Linked DNA regions of Saccharomyces cerevisiae S288C. The protein of the gene in region 2 interacts with the protein of the main gene of each other region in a biochemical or structural test. Each region holds a gene or a part of one and is shown on either strand. Other genes may lie near its edges.

Region 1 (5,227 bases), on a different chromosome or scaffold from region 2:
ATTTACTGAAAAACTTGCCATCCTTGATAGCAAACTATAAAAGCTTCACCGTACAGGAGTTATTTGTTCTGGAGGGGAATATCTGGGGTATATACTGCAGCATAGTTGTGGAGCTATTTAAAAACAAGAGGGTATGGCAATTGCCAGCAAAAATAGAAGATATTGACCGGCTGCTGGAATTTTATATCACTTTGAAAACACAAACCAAGGCTGCCGTAACGCACTCAAGGTTTTTGGCCGAAATCGAGGAATTCATTACCACTTCACTTTACATTTTAGAGAACCAGATTGTGTTCAATTATGCCAATGAGGATACCGTAAATACGGCTTTGAAAAGAGTCGGCATAATCTGGAAGGTGTTTTACCAACAGGTTTACTACGACATGATGGCAGTGTTACTGCCCTTCGAGAAAAGCTTCCAAAAAAATAGTAACTACTGGCTTGACGGATATCTATCTGAACCTTCAAGGTACGCACCGTCAATTGATGTCCTTTTATTAAAGTGTTTTAGAGACTCCATCATTCTTCCGTATTACGAAAGCTTCCTACATACAAATGACGGTGCCAGTAAGAGTTTTCAAAGATATATTTTCAGCGAGGAAGAACAGAACGGCGTCACAGAGGAAGATAAACTGACGCTGCTGCAGTGTTTTGGGATCCTGAATACCATAAAAGGTAACAGCAGAAACCAAAGAATTATTGGTGAACTTCTTGAGGGCATACGCATGAGTATATAATTAAATATTTTATTTAGTAATATACAATAGTGGCATATAGATAGGTGTATTTCCTTTTTCTTGTTCCAAGAATCCGGAAAAACAGATGCTCTTTTCCGCCCTATAAAGGGGCCAATGGGGAAAGTGCAGATCATATTAACTTGCTAAAGAGTCAGAAAGAACCAAATAATAAAAAGAAGAACTAATGTTGTGCGCCATCAAAAGCACAGGTTATCGGTATCCTCGCACGGGAGCCTTAAATCTACTACGTGGACGACCATTTAATATGGCCACCCGAAAAATAACTACTGAAAGGATCCCCGGCCCTCCCAAGCTGCCAAGAGAAGAGCAGGAAGAGTTCGAAAGACTTCAGAGGATTGCCACATCGCAAGAGGCAATAGATCAGTATAATGCGCAGGCCACCGGCGATCGTACAAAGGAGAGTTTGAATTCACCGCTTTTAACCAAAAACGATATTGGGTCATTCTCGCCTGAATTTTCCAAGACCATACCTGAATTCGAAGGTGATGTTAACCCCAAGACTGGTGAAGTTGGGGGTCCCAAGCAGGACCCGTTGAGACACGGCGATTATTCGTTTAACGGAAGAGTAACGGATTTCTAGATATTTGGTCCGGCCAATTTTTAATAATACTATTCTTATTTGATGAAACTGCGTAACGTTCAATTTACTTTTCAATATGTATGTTGTTATGCTTTATTTTGAATATATAATATATATATGTGTGTGTTATGAAATGCATACGTTTCATGTTTGCCTAAAATCTCTTTCTTGTGAGCGTCCTTCGAATTCTTTTCGAGTATGAATTGAACCTATTTCGCATGTTTTTCGTGGAGACAGTCTTTCTAGTGCTTTTTAACCTTACCTTTGGCATGTTTTTGATCTTTACACTGGGCACATTCATACTTATCTTAGCCATGATTGACAATTCAACTATCTTGTTTCTTGCGAATTTGTGGTACTCTAAAGGATTTAATTTTTAACGTTTTGTTTGTCCCACTTGGTATTCCCCAGGCGAAAAGATATGTGGGAACTATCATGTTTTTGTTGGTACAAAATAAGGCATTATGCTAAAAACATACTATTTAACCACGTACACACATATTTATTTACAAGGATACCAAACTTGATCTTATTAACGGAGGCTTAAAGTTGGCTCAAGAAATTGTTTTGCTTGATTCGCTGCCTGTTCGCCTTCCTTATGTTCTTTCTTCTCTTTAAGAGAGCCTGTCCCTCTGGGTCCTCAGCCGCATGTTCGACAACGTGATCACTATCCAATACGCTCCATAACCAATTTGGATACTCCTTGTCCTCGAGTGCCACTGCGTCTTTACCGCTCTTCCATATGTTTAAGTTAAGCGATGTTCCCGCAGGACACGACGACACCACTGACTTAACCGTGGGTTTATTATATAAGATACGACTGGTCGATATCAACCTGTAACCCAAACTGCGCGCCAACATCTTCAGTCTTCAGCAGCTATTTCCTTTGCTGTAGATATAACTGCTTTAAGAAGCCTATTAGTTTTTTCACTTTCGAGATTTTTGCGCCAAACAAGGGCGCACAAATACCCGGCATCACGCATTTATTATATGAAGAGAATATTAGAACAGGCATTTCAAAGCATGATTCAATGACTATAACATTGCTATAGAGGGGGTAGTGAAGAATTATCTAATGTACAAATGGTGAAGCAGTATATATGCGACAAAATACTAAAAAAAGTAGTGCAAAAAGAATTACTGCAGAAGTTGGTCTCTGTAGTGTGGTTGGTTATTGACGAACTTGGCACTTCTCTTATCGAGCCTTTTCTTGTCGAACCTCTCAGTTTGCCAAACACGCTGTTGAGTCTGCACGCCCTTTTTGTCGAAGGCAGGTAAGAACGATCTCGTCTCTGCAGCGACCAGGGTACCTTGGCCTTCGGTCAGTATCACCTCGGGCTTTAAGTCTTGCTTGTAGTATCTTTGCAAGGACCTGTGGCCAACTTTGATGCCTGTCGGTAGATGCAGCTCTATACCATCGTTATATAAGTACTCTTGTGGCAGATCTTCGTCGTCGCTTCCGGCTTCGTCGCTGCCCACGTCTTCCCAGTCATCTTCGTTGTCTGGTGTTGTGTTGCTATTAAAGTTTGCGTATGAGCTTGTAAAATCGTAGAATTCAGATATCTCCAACCTTTCATCCTCGCTTTCGTAGGGAATTTTACAGTGTCTCTTTGCCAACATGTGCTGTCTTACAGCGGTCAACGTTCTCCCCTGGTAATTACAAACAATACAAATGTTCCCAAGACCAATCTTCTCCGACATGTATTTTACCAAGCCGATCTTGTCGACTAGATATTTCTGTTCTGGGATATAAAACCCGTGGGTCCTAAACATGTGTTCCAGGTTTTCTTCAACATCTTTGAAGTGCTTATTGTGCTCACAAAATAGACATTGTTCCAGTGGAATATCGACTCTGTTGCGTAGCTTTTCTTGCATTACTCTTTCCGCCATTTCTTCCTCGGTCAACTGTTCAGGCTCCTCCTTCTTAGGTTCTTCCTTTTCCTTGTTCTCCTCATTTTCTTGCAAAGAGAGCTTGCTTAGGTCGGGAGTATTTCCCTCTTGGCTCTTTTGCATGTTTTCAAGCATATTAGCCCTGGCAATTTCCAACAGTTTCTTTTTCTTTTCGAGCAATGCTTGCTTTTCCCTTCTTTTCAACTCCTTTTTGGTAACAGGTTTCTCCTTTTCAGCAGACTTACTAGTACTGGCAGCAGCTGCAGACACTTTGGAGTCAAATGTCTCAAATGATATTGGTGGCAATTGTGCAACACGTCTTTTCAAATTGTAGCGATGCCAATCGGACTTCATGTGGGCCCGCTGCTCGTCGCTTGAATCAAAGGTCAGGACACATGAATTACACGTATAAACACCACTGCTACTCATCGTATTGTTACTGATATGCTCTCTTCTTGACTTCTAATGAGAAGCATCTCATAACCTGTACTAAAAGTGGAAAGAGGAAAATTTTTTTCACCTCATCGCATCGGTACCCATAAGAAAAACTTTCAAAATATAGTAAGAAAAGAGAATAAAAATAGGAAAATATCGCCGTGGTAATAATGTTATAATTAATATTTCGTATATACTTATACATGTACAAATAGCTACACCACTAGGGTTTGTCTTGAAAGAAATAAAGAGAGTCACGGGGAATATCGGGAATGAGAGTGGATGTGCTCTCAGTTGGCCTTCTTGCCGTCATTTTCACGAAACCATTTCCTGATATACCAGGAACAGCCAACCATGTAGAATGGCACGACCAGAATGTTTGATAGGACACCAAAAATCCATTGCAACGGAACAAAGCGGCTTTTCTTTGCGGTGAGCCCAAGGTCCATCCCCATTATCATCCATCCGACAAAATCTGTAAAAACGTCATCATCACCTCTGGCCAGCGACTTGGCAATGATATCACATGCTTGTTTGCATGGGATAGCGTCTGAGGGGCCTTCGATCAACTTTGTAATTTCGGGTTTCGTTAGCTGCTCTACAGTGAAACCTTCGCTTTCAAAATTACCAGGATAAACACAACTGATACGGAAGTTCGTCAGTTCTTGTCTTAAGATTGCTACCAGTGATTTGATTGCAGCTTTTGCAGGCGCATACTGGGAATAGCCCACAAATGGGTAAAGCGCGGTGGCACTAGAAAAGATGATGAGGTGGTGTTCCTTGGTTTGCTCTGCAAGGGCAATCTGATGTGCCACGTTCAAAGTTGTTTTATAGTTGATGTCCATACCCAAGTTCAACTCATGTCCGCTTAGCCCACGAAATAACTTAGGAACAGCCCCCCCTGCACAGCATAACGTTTGTGTAGGGAGTAAATCCAAGTCTCTCAGGGCATTGAACAAACATTCCACGGATTCGTAGCAGGACAAGTCGCATGGGTAGTAAAATAACCGTTGCTCAAGGTCCAAGGGCGCAGCCAACTTATGTTGCACTTGGCCCTCGTCAGTGGTTTCCCTTCTCAGGTGAGCTTCAATCCTAATTTCGTTGCATGTGTCCAGCAGTCTAGCCTCTGACCTACTGACGATAATAATCTTTGTGTTTTCAGCCTCATTATAATATTTTTTGGCGAATTCCTTTCCAAGACCTTGTGAACCACCAGTGATCAACACAACTTGGTCTTCTAACGTAAACTTCATTACCTACAAAAGATTATACCGATAACTTCTTTTCTTGAGGCAATCTTATTTAATCGCTTCCAGTAAATGCAGAGAAACTCCTCTGCATTTTTCATTTTTTTGTTTTTTTTTTGTCGTTTATTGTTTTTTAGCCTTACGTTTCACGTTAAGGAACAATGATAGTAAAATTACTCCAGGAAATACAAGTAGCACAAAATACGGAGGAATACGATATGGAAGCAACCATCAAAGTGGTACTGCTAGGAGATTCATCAGTGGGGAAAACCAGTATAGTGACTAGGCTCAAATCAGGTAAGTTTCTAGCAAAACAT
Region 2 (5,180 bases):
GCTAATTTTTTTTTACAATTATTCGAAATGAGTCTTGTTTGATCGTGGCCCCTTCTTTATTTCTGATTCCAAATCGAATTTTCAACTCTCTTATTAATATTTTTTCGGTGTGGATGAGAAGAAAAAAAATTTTTCTAAACTCTTCGAGAAAAGAACAATGAAAAGAGAACAGTAAAACGTCATAAAGCCTGTTAGTTCTTGACATAAAGACGGTAAAAGAATCGCATGTTTTCCAATGGAATCGAGTAGTCGAGTTTTGGGTCCATTCTATACCAAATACTGTCGTTCTCGGATACTAGTGACCATGGACCTGTCGTTCCCTTGTCCTTTCTATTGCCTACTAAGATAGTATCGATAAGAAATTGGATTGGGAACTTCTTGTTGTTGATGGTAATGTGAGAATAGCTTCCTGCACTCTCTAGTATGAGAAGATGGCAGCCTGGGGCACAGTTCTCGTTTAACCGTTGCAGAAATTTTATACTCTCCACTTTTTTCTGTGTAAATAGTTCATTTGTAGTAAAAAGTAGAGTTATTAGGTCGAGGCCTTGATATATCTTGATATCTTGTGGCTCTGTCATTTGTAGGCAGTCCTTGTGGGTAAAGTTGACGTTAAATGACTCTGCTTCTGAATCACCATATAGCCATTTCGACTTTATTGTAGCTGTTAGCTTTTCAACAACTGTGGACCAGTCGGCGATATCTACTAGTTGTATGTTTAAATTTCTAGGCTTTTTGTTTACTTCGTTGTCTATTTTCAAAGCAGAGGCAAATTTAGACGAAAAATCTCTCGATAAAGTGAATATGCTCGCTAATGCAACCAGCTCACCACCAGCGCCGCCACCTATGCAGAGCACATTTGAGTCCTTGTCATCAATTTCGCATCTGATAATCTTTAGAAGCTCAGGGAAATGTGCAAATACTGATGCGTAACTTGTTGCTCTGGACGGTGACCAACGACAACAATATGCTATTCTTTTCGAGTCGTTATTGAAAGCAGCATTGTAATCTCTGTTATAAAGGTCAGATTTTACCGCCTGTATTTGTTCAGTTAACGGTGACTTTTCATTGTCTTGATCTTTTGGATATAGCTCTTCTAAGAATGTTATTTTAAAAAGATCGATTATTTCCTGTGGTGGAAGCGTTGATTTATTGTGAACGGGCAATTGGGCCACTTTTTTAGGATTCATGTTAATTGGAAACTGAGAAGAGTAATGATATTGTGAATAAATTGGTATATATTTAAAATATACTGAAGAAGTTAAAAAGGCAAAGCGTCTCATAAGCAACATCAAAAACGTGCAAAAAGAGACCCTGCGATGAGATGTACTCTAATTCAGAAAGAGAAAAAAAAAAAAAAAAAAAAAAAAAATAAAAATGCACTAAGGGCCCAATGGATTTCTTTTTTTGATATTGAATCATTCATTAAACATATTTATTAGGTTTAGAAGATTTTAATTATACAAAACTTATGCTCTATTTAAAATAATATTAATGAATTTATTCTTCGTCTTCTTCTTCGTCTTCTTCTGGAGTGACTTGGTAGAAGGCCAATCTGTATTCGTTGGTCTTGGTAGAGACAAATCTGATCCAGTCTCTCAATTGGTTCTTCTTCAAGTACTTCTTTGTCAAGTACTTCAAGTACTTACCAGAGAACTTGGCAGTGGAAACAACAGTAACAACGGTACCATCTTCAGTGACAGTGACAGCGTTACCCAAGTTACCGACAGCACCTTCGACCTTGATGTGGTCGATCAAGTACTTAGCGTAGGAAGCTGGGTCGAAGACACCGTTTTCAGTTGGAGAAGAGACATCGACGGTAAAGGTCTTGGCAATCTTTTGCTTTCTGGAAGTCTATATCAAAAAAATTAAAGATTGAAAATTAGTAAAAATTTTCAGAACAGTAATGTTAGTAAAAAACGAATATTTCACGATTTTCTTTCAATCCCGAAACCACAAAGTTGCCTACTGCTATTAACAATCACATATGACAATCTCAAACAAAAAAACATTCAGAAACGGATAAAAAGAAGGGAGTCGATATAGAGTTCAATGTTCAAGTAGTGAATTTTTAAAATACAGAAAAGCAACTAAACACATAGACGCTTCTTCGTTTCGTACATTTTTATTTTTTTTTTTTTGGTTTTACTATCTTCCTTGTTATTCGCGTACAATCAATCATTACAATAACAGTAAAACATAGACTTCGTAATCGGGCGTGGATTCCTTTTAAAGTATCATACGTTTGGGGCCATTGTTTCTTAATCTGTTGTTTTGGTGGTTTATAATTTGATAACGGTAAAGTACAGGTAAAGTTGTTAATCTCAATTAATAATGTACATATTGTATGCAGCTAAATGATAGTTTGAAACATTTTAGGAAATTCTCGGTAAGATTTGTTCGCGTGGCCTGTTGAGGATTTTTTCAAAAGAGAAGCGCACTGAGGTGGAAAGGAAAAACAAATTAACATAAATGTATGGATGTATTATTAAATGTACTGATGTTTATCAAAAAAACTGTCTTTGAAAGTTAAGTACAAGCTAAACATTTACTCAGTAGCGGTAGTAATATTATATAAAACATGGTAAACTTTAGTTGTGTTTCTATATATAGATATATATATGTGTCTATCTATCTATATAAGTTTTATAAATCAGTAAAAATTTTTGTTAGAACATTACATTATAGGAAGACTTCGGCATTAACCTCTACAAAGGATGCAGCGAATGGAACGTCGAAATTCATCATGACTTCAGGATGCAAGACACCCAAGTGGCCGATTTGCTTTGGCTCAGCGCCTTCTTTGGATCTGAACATGACCTTGGCACCTCTACCTGGGAAGTAGGTTTTCACAGAATCGTCTTCTTCAATCCAGTAACCTCTGCCAGAAGCAGCAGCACCGTAGTCTGCAATCCACTCTGTTCTAAAAGTTTGCATGATTTTACCCAATAACCCTTGAATGATTTCAAACCCAGAATTCTTACCCACGTAGATGGCAGCCCAGTGACGTTCATTGTACGCCTTCCTTTCTAGTTTGTCGTCTTTAAATACAACGTCACCGGTTTCAAAGACTTTGATTGGCAAGGAATGTTTTCTGTTTTCCTTGACTGTCTTTAAGATACCAGGCAATAAAGTGGTTCTAACAACTTGGTATTCCAAAGTCTTTGGGTTGGCCAATTTGACAGCTAAATCACCATTGTCGGATTGTCTTAGAAATTTAAAGTTTTCATCGTGCGAACATAAGGTCAATGGTAAAACCTCAACCCACGTGGCTTGAGAGGATGCAACTCTGAAAATATCAGAAACCTTGTTGATTGGTAATGGTTTGGCAATGAAGTTGGCATTGGATAATTTCTCACCCTTTGGCAAATTATTGAAACCATAACCGACAGCGGCATCTTCCATTATATCACAAGCGTGCAAAATATCAGGTCTAGTTACCGGAATGTCAACGTGCAAGATGTCCTTGTCTTCCTTTGATTGAACGGCATGCAACGACATCTTCTTTAGACAATGAGCAATTTCATCAGCGGATTGATCTAGGCCAAGACAGGAGTTGATGTACTTAATGGAGACATCCATAATTCTATCGTTGAAGTTTGGCGCCAAACGGGATTGGCCATTGTGTTCAGAGACAATTTCTACAGGCTCAACCGTGAATGGTTCGTCACAATAACGTGAGAACATTGTAGTTAATATGTTCAAAACGATCTCGGCTTTGGTCTTATCGGTGGCGGTTATATCAATCAAAATGTTACGGGTGTTCACAGAGATCTTCGAATGTTCACTATTGATTAATGGTGGCAGGGAGCAAACACGATCTTTGCTGTCCATAATAACTGGGAAGACTGGAGAATCCTCAATAATGTGAACGTATCTCCCTATGTTGTTTTTCTGTTCTGGAGATTTATAAAACTCGATCAATTTGTCACCAGTAAACTCTTGGGTTTGATTCAATGGTACGAACTTGATGTCCTTTGGTGGTAGAGCTCTGTAATGGAATGGACCTTCAATTGAATCTAAATCGTGAGTACCCATGGCAACCAAGCTTCTGTTTCTACATAGATTGGCATGTAATTTATCTTGCAAGGCAATAAAAGAAGCGTAAGATTTTTCGTTAAGCTTGATATTTCTCAATACAGCAGCGGTAGCAAAAGGTCTAATTTGCTCCGTTGATTTGTCGATGATCAACTTAGTGGTTGGCTTGCTTAATTTATAGTCAGGTCTTTCTTTACGTTCCAAGTATTCGTTCAGCGACTGTGAAATACCTTCGATACAAAGCAAATCGTAACGATTGGCACTGATATCAAGCTTCAATTCCGGCTCCTCCCCGGTTTTCAAGGCCTCCTCTGTGGTGTCTTCGTCCATTTCCATACCGAATTCAAAACATAATTCATCGAACTCTTGGGAAGTGTAGTTTTTGCCTAGAAGATCAAATAATTGCTGCTTGTTCACGGAGACGGTAGGCATGCTGGCTCGGTGTTATTGATGTGTGTTATGCTATTCTGCCCTATTTTTTGAACATTTGATCAACTCCAGGCTTTCGAGAAATACATTGAAAATTTTTCATTTCCTTCAATTTTCTTTCTTTTTTGGTACCGATTCTGAATAATCGGTCACCTCGTGTGTCGTGATAAATAATCAAGAAGATGTACTTTTATACAAGGGTTGTAGTCATCTGGGACACTCTCAGAGCACTGGCTCTGACGACAACCATCAAACGCATGCTCATACGTATAATTCAAGCCTTACATACACTGGTATTCCCTTTGGGGTGTTTCTTTTTCCTGTCAAGTTGGGCACTTAAAAGAACTAATAAAAAATCAGTGTGAACTTTTCGATTTGCAAAGAAAATGAAAAAAAAGAAAAGGAGCTTTCACAAATAAACAGAAGAGATCAAGATGAAGTGGTTGTTGTTTCCGGCAAGAATCGTAGCTCGCACTCGCCCAAACCTCTTCTCGCTGTACAGAAGATCCGTTTCACAGTACTTACGTCCTCGAACCATCCAAAACCTGCAATCAATGGCGCAAACACCCGAACTTAAAACCAAGCTGTTCAAACCCTTGGTCTGGATCGACTGCGAGATGACCGGTTTAGACCACGTGAATGACAGAATTATCGAGATTTGCTGCATCATCACCGATGGACACCTGGCACCCGTCAAAGCGGCCGATGGCCAAGGA

The links. The genes of interacting proteins can lie anywhere in the genome.
Region 1: the proteins of RPL22A (region 2) and REI1 are reported together in a solved structure, tested with the Saccharomyces cerevisiae proteins (2 studies listed by BioGRID).

What each region holds. Positions count from the first base shown.
Region 1 is NC_001134.8:738,271-743,497, reverse strand, and holds REI1 (Rei1p), read right to left. Parts: upstream 3,658-5,227; coding exon 2,476-3,657; downstream 1-2,475. Other genes in the region: BIT2 (Bit2p), read left to right, coding at 1-737; SDH8 (Sdh8p), read left to right, coding at 922-1,338; mitochondrial 54S ribosomal protein mL54 MRPL37, read right to left, coding at 1,882-2,199; SLM6 (Slm6p), read left to right, coding at 3,110-3,562; TSC10 (3-dehydrosphinganine reductase), read right to left, coding at 3,954-4,916; Rab family GTPase YPT10, read left to right, coding at 5,129-5,227. UniProt on the Saccharomyces cerevisiae protein: Pre-60S-associated factor involved in the cytoplasmic maturation of the 60S subunit. Involved in the dissociation and recycling of other late pre-60S factors like ARX1, TIF6 and ALB1 before newly synthesized large ribosomal subunits enter translation.
Region 2 is NC_001144.5:260,266-265,445, reverse strand, and holds RPL22A (60S ribosomal protein eL22 RPL22A), read right to left. Parts: upstream 2,253-5,180; coding exon 2,241-2,252; intron 1,852-2,240; coding exon 1,498-1,851; downstream 1-1,497. Other genes in the region: BMT6 (25S rRNA (uracil2843-N3)-methyltransferase), read right to left, coding at 192-1,289; FRS1 (phenylalanine--tRNA ligase subunit beta), read right to left, coding at 2,680-4,467; REX2 (Rex2p), read left to right, coding at 4,899-5,180.